Macaca fascicularis: one gene and its partners. The protein of the gene in region 2 interacts with the protein of the main gene of each other region in a pairwise test. Links are inferred from orthologs where the notes say so. Each region holds a gene or a part of one and is shown on either strand. Other genes may lie near its edges. The genes, in order: ABI3, HOMER1 and C1H1orf116.

What was found.
Region 1: the proteins of HOMER1 (region 2) and ABI3 interact in binary tests that used the Homo sapiens proteins (3 or more experiments, as listed by UniProt). The two-hybrid records come from large-scale screens. The link is inferred for Macaca fascicularis from reciprocal best matches to the Homo sapiens genes HOMER1 and ABI3.
Region 3: the proteins of HOMER1 (region 2) and C1H1orf116 interact in binary tests that used the Homo sapiens proteins (3 or more experiments, as listed by UniProt). The link is inferred for Macaca fascicularis from reciprocal best matches to the Homo sapiens genes HOMER1 and C1orf116.

The regions. Positions count from the first base shown.
Region 1 is NC_088390.1:57,504,419-57,508,595, forward strand, and holds the start of ABI3 (ABI gene family member 3), read right to left. Parts: upstream 2,921-4,177; 5' UTR 2,903-2,920; coding exon 2,786-2,902; intron 1-2,785. UniProt on the Homo sapiens protein: May inhibit tumor metastasis. In vitro, reduces cell motility.
Region 2 is NC_088380.1:83,351,100-83,353,444, reverse strand, and holds part of HOMER1 (homer protein homolog 1), read left to right. Parts: intron 1-1,028; coding exon 1,029-1,217; 3' UTR 1,218-2,345. UniProt on the Homo sapiens protein: Postsynaptic density scaffolding protein. Binds and cross-links cytoplasmic regions of GRM1, GRM5, ITPR1, DNM3, RYR1, RYR2, SHANK1 and SHANK3.
Region 3 is NC_088375.1:64,856,922-64,861,058, reverse strand, and holds the start of C1H1orf116 (specifically androgen-regulated gene protein), read left to right. Parts: upstream 1-1,295; 5' UTR 1,296-1,350; exon of another isoform or gene 1,351-1,478; intron 1,479-4,137. UniProt on the Homo sapiens protein: Putative androgen-specific receptor.

The DNA of each region.
Region 1 (4,177 bases), on a different chromosome or scaffold from region 2:
GATCCATCTCTGCGGCTGAGTGCTTGTTCGTCATGCAAATTACCCTGTCTGTAAAGTCAGTCAACCCTGGCGGAGAACTCTGCAGGTGACCCTGGTCTGCCTTCCCTAATTCCCCATGGGTTTCCTAGCATCTGGGTGGTGTGGGGAGAGAGGGGCTGCAGATGGGGATGGAGGGTAGGGGAATCAGGCCTTAGGTAACAGCAGTTCTGAGATCCATAAACTTCCTAGGCATTTGCCTAGACAAAGATCCTCAGAAAGGCCAGGAAAGGTAACAGGTTGTGTGTTCTAGTAGTTATTGTTCTGCATGAAAGAAGCAGGAATCCAAGGATTCCAAGTTGGGTCAAGGCTTCTCACGCCATGTATTTTTGCAAGGACAGCTTCTCCTCCTTAGAACTGATTCTTATTATCCATCTTTCCAATGAATGATAATGATGATGATAGTCATGGTAAGAGCTGCCATTTATCCTGCTCTTCTGAAGGGGCTGGCACTAGGCTAAATGCTTTGATACATTTTTATATTGAACCCATGGAGCCACCCCTGAAGGCAGGCATGAGAATCAGAGGAGGAACTTGCCACAGTTCCTGTAGTTGGTAGGTGGCAGAGCTGGAAACTGGACTTAGGTCTTTGTGACCCCAAATTGTGTGTGAACACTGTGTGTGCAAATGAGAGCCCTGCGGAAGCTCTTTGAGGTGTGCAGAAGTTATGGAAGGAATGGAAAGGACTGCTTGGATCCTTGTCCGTAGAGGGAACATGCCTTTCTGTGCTAGGAGGATGCGTTGGTTTGCAAGCCTCATTCTGTCTCATCTGCAGGTGGTCATTCAACAACTACACAGACCGAAATGATACCCAGAGTAGCATTTTCAGTTAGTGGCATAGGGAGTGGGCTCTGGAATCAGATTTCTGGGTTTGAATTCAGGCTCTGACACTAGCTAGGAGACCTCTGGGAAAGTGACTTAACCTTTCCAAACCTCAGCTTCCTCATTGTGAAGTGAGAATGGGACTCGCCTCACTGGACTTCAGATGAGGATGAAGGGAGGCCATGCTGGTGACATGCCTGGCCCAAAGGAAGGGTCCAGAAAGTTTTAACTGCTGTCATCACTGACTCTCTTTAATCTGCCATTTCCCATGAGCACTTGTTCCTCATTTATTTCTTTTTTCAACATTCTTACTATGCTACGAGGTCTCTATGCCTGTTCTCATAGTTCGGTTAGTACAGGTTAGAAAAATAAAGTTTTGCCCAAGGGGTAACAAGGTTAGCCTGCAGCTCTTCAGGGAGCAGAGGAAACCGGGTACAGAGAGTGCAAATAAACTGTCGTAAAGTCACATAGCGTGTAGGGAGGCAGAAAGATGGAGAGGAAAGGGCTTGGCGTCAGGAGTCAGGTAAGCCCAAATGTGGTGGCTTACGCCTGTAATCCCAGAACTTTGGGAGACCAAGGTGGGCAGATCACTTGAGGCCAGGAGTTCAAGACCAGCCTGGGCTACATATGGAGACCCTGTCTTTACAAAATAAAATAAAAAAAATTAGCCAGGCATGGTGGCATGCGCCTGTAGTCCCAGCTACTCAGAAGGCTGAGGTGGGAGGATTGCTTGAGCCTAGGAGTTCAAGGCTGCAGTGAAGCTATGTGAGCTACGATCATGCCACAGCACTCTAGCCTGAGCGACAGAGGAGACCCTGTCTCAAAAAAAGAAAAAAAAAAAAAAAAAAAAGACTGGCCGGGCATGGTGGCTCACTCCTATAATCCCAGAACTTTGGGAGGCCGAGGCAGGTGGATCACCTGAGGTGTCAGGAGTTCGAGACCAGACTGACCAACATGGCAAAACCCTGTCTCTACTAAAAATATAAAATTAGCCAGGCATGGTGGTACATGCCTGTAATTCCAGCTACTCAGGAGGCTGAGGCAGGAGAATCTCTTGAACCCGGAAGGTGGAGGTTATAGTGAGTCGAGATCGAGCCATTGCACTCCAGCCTGGGCAACAAGAGCAAAAATACGGGAATGCCTGGCTCTGCTGTTTGGAGCTGTGCGGCCTTGGACAAGTCACCTCACCTCCCTGAGCTACTGTTTCCACATGTGTAAAATAGGAATTATAATACGTGTCTCACAAGGTAGTTGTACAGATTAATGAAATAACAGAAGTGATTTCCATCATGGCTAAGTTGCCTTGCCTCTCCTCCCTGAATCCAGGAATCTATACTCTCAGCCCCAGGACAACCACACAATTTAAAAACTGTTCTACAATGCTACCTCCTTATCTTTTGCTAGTAGCCTGCTCCCAGCAGTCATGTGGGCCATCCCCCTCCCTCTGCATGAGATCCCCTCTCTTTAGCCCAGCCTACTCTGCCTTATCCCCACTCTCCCAAACTCAGGGTCCATCTCAGGTTCACTGTGCTGTTTGGGAAGTTCTTCTGAAGCGTCACCCAGAGCTGGCCTGGAAATAGAATGATCGCCAGCATCTGTGTGAGGACGGAGGCTTTGGGTCTCTGGATCAACCTGGGGGACTCAGAAGGATGAACCTGCAGTGACATCTGAGAACAGGATGGAATCGCACTGTCTGTCCCAGACATCTCTGAGGCGAGACAGAAAGGGCACAGTGGGGGCTTGGGCAGTATGGGGTCAGAGTTAAGTATTGGGGTCTGGGATGAAGCTGAAGTCTGGAGTGGGAGGATTTCTCAGCCAAGGCCCAAGACAAGCCCTGTCAGGATGGCTCCCAGGGCCCCACTTGGGGCTGGGCTCAGGGTCCGCCCTCCAGGGGCTGGGGTGTCAATCCTCCGCCCGCTCTACCTACCTGCACATAGTTGTCCTCGCAGTAGTCAGCAACCCGCAGCAGGGCACTGTGGTTGCCCCTCAGAGCCTCCCGGCCCGTGGGGATCTCAAACTCCTGCAGCTGCTGTAGCTCCGCCATCACCCCCAGCCTCTGTCTGGCTCCCCAGGGAGCCCGCTCGTTTTGAGTCTCACCCTGCCCTTGATTGGTTGTTCTGCCTTCCCTCCCTCTTACTGCTTTTGGTTTCCTCTGCGTGAGACCCAAACCTGCTTGCAAAGGGCAGGCATGCTCATTCCGGGACAAGAGGAAGTCAGTCCTGCTCCCCGAGCCTGTGCCTCTCTGTCCCCTGCCCAGAGGAAGGGGGAAGCCAGGGGCCCATTTGGGGGCCCAGCCCCCAATCCCACCCAGCAGAGGAAGCCAAGGTCGGGGCAGCTGTGATTGCTCCCTGGTCCTGGAGAGGAAACTGGTTGGTGGGGGGATGGGGTGGGAGACTGGGGAGGAAGGGGGCTGGCCTGCTATAGGGGGTGGAGGTGGATTTTCCACTCATGGAAGGCGGGAGGAAAGGGCAGAGGGTGGGGGCTTCCTTGGGAAGCTCGGGGATGAGTCACCAAGGGACAGGGGAGTGGAGGGTGGATAGGATATGGAGACTGGTCATACCAGAGAGGACTGTGGGACGGCAGCACAGCAAAAATAGAAAACAGCCGATGTGGCAGCAAGAGGGGTCAGGGTTGGACACCGGGAAGACATGACCAGAGAGGTCCCAGAGGGGTGTTAGTAAGCCTGCGAAGGGTAGTGTGTGATGAAGATCTGCCCTACATGCTCTGTGCTCATGAAGGCAGGACGAGATGAAATTGACCCAGTGTAATGTGAGGAACTCAGATTAGACAACAGGAAGGACTTGGATTTGAGAAGCACCAGGTTCAAATTCCAGATCAATTTGTTGGTTTTAGGAAGCAGCGGTGGACAGAGCACTGAGCCTGCCTAGGAGGTATGGGCTGTAGTTCATGCATTAACAGGACACTTGGACCAGACGACGTCCAGGATCCTGTCCTGATTTCAAACTCTTAGAGCTCCCAGCTGAGAGTTGGACTGGGTCCTGGAGCAGGGAAGTTAGGATGGACCGCGGGCCTCCTCTCTGCCCCTCCTACCACCAAGCCTGTCATCCTAGAGACAGGAGAGTAAGAGGACCTCCCACCGACCATATTGGTCCCTTAACTTTTGCTCCTTCAGCGGGTCCCTTGTCATTGGATGGGTGTCAGCCAGAGCAGGAGCTCAATGTCTGTTAAATGGCATAGCCCTTGGGTGGTCCTTGGGGGAGAGCAAGAAAAAAACAGAATGTGGGTCCTGTGCTCAGGAACCCACATTCAGGACTCAGAGGGAGGTGTGGCAGCAAAGAAGCTTGAACAGAGGCATTAG
Region 2 (2,345 bases):
AGGCTGAGGCAGGTGAATCACTGGAGGTCAAGAGTTCAAGACTGGCCTGGCTAACATGGTAAAACCCCGTCTCTACTAAAAATACAAAAATTAGCCAGGCGTGGTGGCACATGCCTGTAATCCCAGCTACTCTGGAGGCTGAGGCAGGAGAATGGCTTGAACCCAGGAGGTGGAGGTTGCAGTGAGCCAAGATTGCACCATTGCACTCCATCCTGGGGGACAGAGTGAGACTGCATCTCAAAAATCAACAACAACAAAAACAAAAGCAGTAATAACTTCTAAATAATTTTTAAGTGTACCAGAGTTTATTCTGTCAAAAAAAAATTGTTTAGTGTTTTTTTTTTTGTTGTCATGAACATTTGATTTCCTTTTATCATTTTTTTTTCCTTGGCTTGTAATATATTGGAACTGTTAACTTATAATTCTCTATTATGTATGGTTATTATGTATCTTCACTACAGTTTCTAGCAGCTGAGTGATACTCTCTACATATACATTTATTTGATATTGAGGCAAAGTAAAGAATAATTTACATATTCAGAGGATCCTAAAATCACATTTTAGAGAGTTAATTTCTTGTCTAAATCTTTCTCTAGAGTTGCCAGTAAACAGAAAAAGTTAATTTCTCTCTCTCTCTCTGCCTGCTTTCACCTGTGTTTGCTAATAATTATGCGTTAGGAGAAATAGGTGGACAGCAATAAAAATAATATCTAAGTGATCCATAAATAGGTCTTCAAGTCCGTTTTGGTATTTGAAGTACTTAGAGTGTTGCCTGGGACAAAGTAATGAGTCAGTAGATTTTTGTTGAGTAGTTAGATTGATTGATAACCAAGCCGGTCATTAAAACTGTATTGCTCTCTGGGATGGCCAAGTCTAAAATCTCCTTAAATTGTTCTAAATTAAGATTCTGAAGCTCATCCTGACTGTCAAACTGCATTGATTACCACAATATTGGTAATAACAGAGAGTTGTATTGTTTTCTGAGTGATGGATTGACATATATACATGTTACACTTTTGTTTCTGAAGGAAGTAGAAATTCGGAACAAAGACCTGGAGGGACAACTGTCTGACTTAGAGCAACGTCTGGAGAAAAGTCAGAATGAACAAGAAGCTTTTCGCAATAACCTGAAGACACTCTTAGAAATTCTGGATGGAAAAATATTTGAACTAACAGAATTACGAGATAACTTGGCCAAGCTACTAGAATGCAGCTAAGGAAAGTGAAATTTCAGTGCCAATTAATTAAAAGATACACTGTCTCTCTTCATAGGACTGTTTAGGCTCTGCATCAAGATTGCACACACACACACACACAAAAAAAAAAAAAAAAAAAAATTGAATATCACTCCTCCAGGAGGAGGATCTTTTGAAAATTGGAATTGTATATTTCACTGTAAATTTTAGAATCCAGCTTGTAGCTAGTTGGGGAAAAAAGAGATGAAAAACTTGAACTACAAATTACCTCCATGTATATTATTGGCCATAGTTAACTAGAAAGTTATAAATAGACACTTAATGCAATCTTTTTTCCTGATATTAGCCAATGGGAGAATTAACAATGTCTGGGTCACATCCCCTTTTTGTGTTCAACACAGTGAAGATTATCTGCTTTTTAAATTAATTTATTTACGATATCTAGAGCTGTGTTTTGTGCAAAAACTTAGTGATGAAAGCCTGTCTTTTGTTGTAATCTGAATAATTTCTCAGGATATTTTTGCACTGCTGAGAAGCAGTGCCATTACCAATTAATTCTTGCCAGGAGTGAGAGAGAGCTGTATCTTTAATTGAAATATACTATAACTGGGTGTATAGAGTTCTTCCCTTTTTTGTGCTGGAAGATATTTCACTCTGGTGACTACTCTGGTACACTCTGATGTTCTCTAATCTTGTCTGTTGTATAGTTTACTTTTCCATATTGATTCCATGTATTTATGAGAAGATACTGTCTCCCATTTTATTACACATTTTAAAGCCAACTAACGAAGGCAGCTGAGTCCCTCAGAAATTTTTCTTTTTAAATTTCTAATAAATTTGACACACAGTACTGAAATACAGCAGCCCGTCATTGACGGTCTGGTCTAGCAATGTTAAGTATATTTACAGAATATGCAGTTACATTTATTTATATATTTTGCAAGAAATCTTTTCTGAATGATCAATGCATTTCAATTTACGAATAATAATGGTTATTGGGGAACTGTTTATTATAGATAATTTTAAGGTGTATAGCTATTTTAAAGGGGATCCATTTACATCAAACAGCTGATCAGAGGACTCTATCTAAATTGTGATCGTGGCAGATAGAGATGGAGTTGTGTACTCTATCTGGCTCTACACATCAAT
Region 3 (4,137 bases), on a different chromosome or scaffold from region 2:
ACTTGCAAATTATCTGTGTATTTCATGATTTCCACTTGAGATTCTCTCCAAAACAGAGGCAGATTGGCATTATGCTGATTCATGGCAATCTTGATGTTATATTGCCTGAATTAAAATCCCCACCCTGCCTCTTCCTAGCTACATGGCCTTGAAAAAGTTTTTTAACTTCCCTGTAAAATTTAGATATTAATAAATGTCTACTTTTTTAAGTTAAAGACTAAAGACTAAGATACATGAAAACGCTCAGCACAATACCTAGCAAATAGCAAGAACCTAATAAATTTTGGCAATTATTGTGTACATTGATTTTAAATTTTCTCCCTGCCCTTTTAATGCTAGTAAGTGGAATACCTCAAATCCTGATAGGTGTCAAGGATAACCAACCTCTAGGAAAAACCAGCTTCCAGTCAAAAATCATATCTGATAAGAGTGGTCTCTGTACTTGGAGGGAGATTTCTTCCCAAAAGCAGTAGATTCTTCTACCTACTCTCTTCTCCCTACAAGTGCCAAATGTCAGTCCACGAAAGGAGGTAGGAGTTGCTAAACTGGTTAGAAGTTTGTTTTGTTTTTATTTCATAATATGTATTGCCACCTTCCATGAACAACTAAAAGAGAGCAGAGGACCAAATGACAGAGTGCATGCTCTCCCCTTTCAAGCTGTCCAGTCACTCCTCCATCAGGATAGGGACCTCTCAGGGGATGAATGGTTTTATTTCCCCAGAAATAAATTAGGCCAAGGAGATTGTTGTCAAGCACTGGGGCGAGACTGGCCCAACTACAGCAACCCTAGCCTTGGGACACCCTCCTAAGTGAACATGAATGGAATTGCCAGACTTATGAGCTAGGAGTAGGCTTGGGGAAGAAAGTGACTTTCAACAGCTAGAAAAGCTAGCAGCAAAACTGACCACAAATGAGTTTAGCTTAGATAATTCAGGGGAAAACTAATCTCCTAGTGGAAGAAGGTAGTTCTAGATGAAAAACCTATTTCACGTAGACCTATGGAAAAGCACACTGCCCAGAGGACTGTCTGCGTTCCTTTATACCAACATTAAATATATATACTATCTCTGCCTGCTCCCTCCCTGCCACCTGTCCTTCCAGTCTCAGCCCAAACCAGCTCCTCCTCCTTCCAGCCCTCCTTTTTTAAAGAGCTCTTTATTAGCTCTAAACAGGGAAGGGGAGGGCATGAGATGATTGGCTAAGAGGGAGCAGCACCACCCTGCTCATTCCCCTCCCATTCCCTCCCTGAGGAAACAGCTGGAATGAGAGGTAGGGAGGGGAGCCTAGGATTGGCTGAGTCAGTGGCAGGGTGGGGGCCAGGCAGCACAGATGAAGCATTTACCTGTCTAGGTAAGTCAGGAGGAGGTCAAAAGGAGAAGAAAACAGTAGGAGGCAGGGGAAGCAGCCTCTGTCTCCGTCTCTGCCCTTTGAAATAAAAGGGTATTTCTTTCCTGTCTTCAGCCCCCAACCCAGTGGAGGTGAGTTAATCACTAACCAACTACTGCTTATCCTGCAGCAAGAGGAAGGGGTTTCATGGGAAATCAGAACTACAGAGGAAGGAAGGTGTCCCTCTATACCCAAGCTAGGGAGCTTTCCTATCTGTTCCCCAATTCTCTGAGTTCATTCTGGGGTCAGATCAGGTTGGTAGTGACTTGAGATTGTAGTATTTTTGTGGAGACCGGGGCTGGGAGGACCTTCTTTTTCATTTACCTCCTTAGGTTGGATAGGCATATTGTGCAAACAACACGAAAAAGAAAATAGATTTGTTTTGGAAATTTCCATCTCTGAACAATTGAAATTGAGTTGTGATTTTGGAAAATAACAGTTGAAATAGAGGGAGTCAAAACGGGGGAGAGTATCTTGGTTTTCCATCGCGATTATAACCGGAAATTCTCCCGTGGCTTTACCAACTCGGTGTCGATCTTTGTTTAAATAATGGGTGCAGTGTGTGTGTGTGTGTTTGATCATGCTCGTTTGATAATGGAGCTCTCTGTGGACAGGTGTGTTAGGCATGAGCTGCACTAGGTTGTTTGTAAAGGGATATAAGGTTTGGGCATGTGGGGAAAACTTCAACTCCAGCTACCAGCTCATCTTTGGAAAACCCATGGATAATCTAGCTGCAAAGCCAAGTTTATTTGGGTTCTACTCAATTAACTTTCTGACTCTGCCTGTTAATAGATGCAGAGACTGGCAAACAGAAAGCTACTTGGCTGTGCTGGGCCTCACCTACATGAATATTTCGCAGCTGCATGTCAAGTCTAGTTAGAGTTCCAAGTGGGGCTCAGGCCAAGGTAGTGTGGCAGAGTCCACAGACAGAGAATCAGACCAGGGTGGTGGCTTTGTTTTGTTTTCCTGCAGGTGTCCAAGTTGGCAGTTTGTGTGGCAGATTTACCTGCAGAAGGAAGGCAGATGTAGGAGTCGAGTCAGAGTAGCAAGTCGCCTCTCCATTATCCATCTTGGGGGGTTTAACCCTTTGGTCCCTAACTTTGATTCTTTCCCTCCTGCTGCAGAGAAGAGGGAAGTGGGAAGACCTCAGTGCCAGGCTCAAGGGCCTGGCACACACAGTCCTGAGTGAATATATGGGTTTTCCAGTCCTGACAACTGGAGATTCAGACTTGAGCTTACCTCACACCACAGAGCCAGCACCCCACACTCACTGACTGAGGGCTGCCCTAGATGGTGAACTTAGGAGTAAAGACCACCAGCAGTGTCTAACAAAGCTCTCCTATGCAGAGAGTATTTCTCCCTGCTCCTTGCCTCAAATCTACTGGTGAAAAGGAAGATGATAATGTTGCCTAAACACATACAGAAACTTGCCCATGTGCTCATGGAGACGGATATGCACATTGTGCAAGTTTTAGTCTTTCTGATATTTTTCTTAGGATATTTTCCAGCCCAAGGCACATCTCTGGGTAGTCAACAAGAAGCAGAGACACCTGGATTGAAAGATAGGAAACCTCTTTGACTAGTAGGCAGAGAGGCAGAGCTCTTGGAGGACATGTGGGTGAGTTCGTTGGAGGAGGAGGATGAGAGAGACCTGGGTCTGATTAGAAGGTGCAGATAAGCCAACCTGGAACGGAGCTGGAGCCCTCTCTCCACCCCACCCTCTCCAGATGCCAGAACTTCACCTGTTCTTTATTCCCTCTCCTCCAAGACTTGGCAGTATTTAGTATTTTAGTCAGTGGAGTAGTTAATATTTAATTCAGGATGGATGGCCCTGACTATTTAAGTGCTACATATTTCTTAACCCATTCCCTCCTCCCATTAAGTTCCCAAAGAGGTCAAGGGTTAAAAGATACCAAACTCTCACCTTGAGTGTTTTGTTTGTTTCTCAGTCTTCTTATCAGGGTTTCGATGGCTGCCCTGAGACAGCCCCCATCGTTCAAGGTTGTGAAGTCGGTGAAAGGAAATGCAGCTTTCACCTTTCAGATTTTTTAGGTCAGAAAACTAGGTATGGAGATGAGGTGACAGCACCTCACTCAGCTTTGGTTTCAGGTTCAGACTCCTCTCTGCAGGGAGTATGTAATCCCTAAAGACATGAGTTTCCTTGGCAGTTGGTGTCATTTCTTTACTGTGGAAATAGCTGCTGTTGGGGCAATACACCGGCCTGGAAGTATAAAGCTGAAGCAGATCATTTGTAGGGTTTAAGGTATGAAGTAGAAGAAGAAGGGGGTCTTAAGGCTTTTAGTATTTTAGTCAGGGGTGACTAGTAACCATTCTCAGGGGCATGCCCCTCTTGCATCCAGATAGTCCCTGAGATGCCCCGTGGAGGGCTGTCCTGTATATGCAAGTATAGGTCATTTCCTGTGTCCCTTAGGAAGGGCTAGTGGTAAGAGCCATAACTTTCTCACCTGTAAAATGAAGAAAATGTCAGATCCTGCCTATGTTTCCAGTTTATGCTGAAGATCTAATTAGCATATCTGAGAGCACTTTGCAAGCTATGGCATGCTGTGTTCTTGTGAAGCAGTACTTTTCCTACCACTTTTATCTCTTCCAGCTACTTGAAGGTATCCTAGGTTCTGAAACGAAAGTGTCATAGGCTTCGCTGGTAGGAAGGAGAGACTAGAAAACCTCTGTAAAGTCTAAAGCATACTTAGAAGCACAAGGGTAGCAATTTTCTCTGAAAGTAAGAGGCAT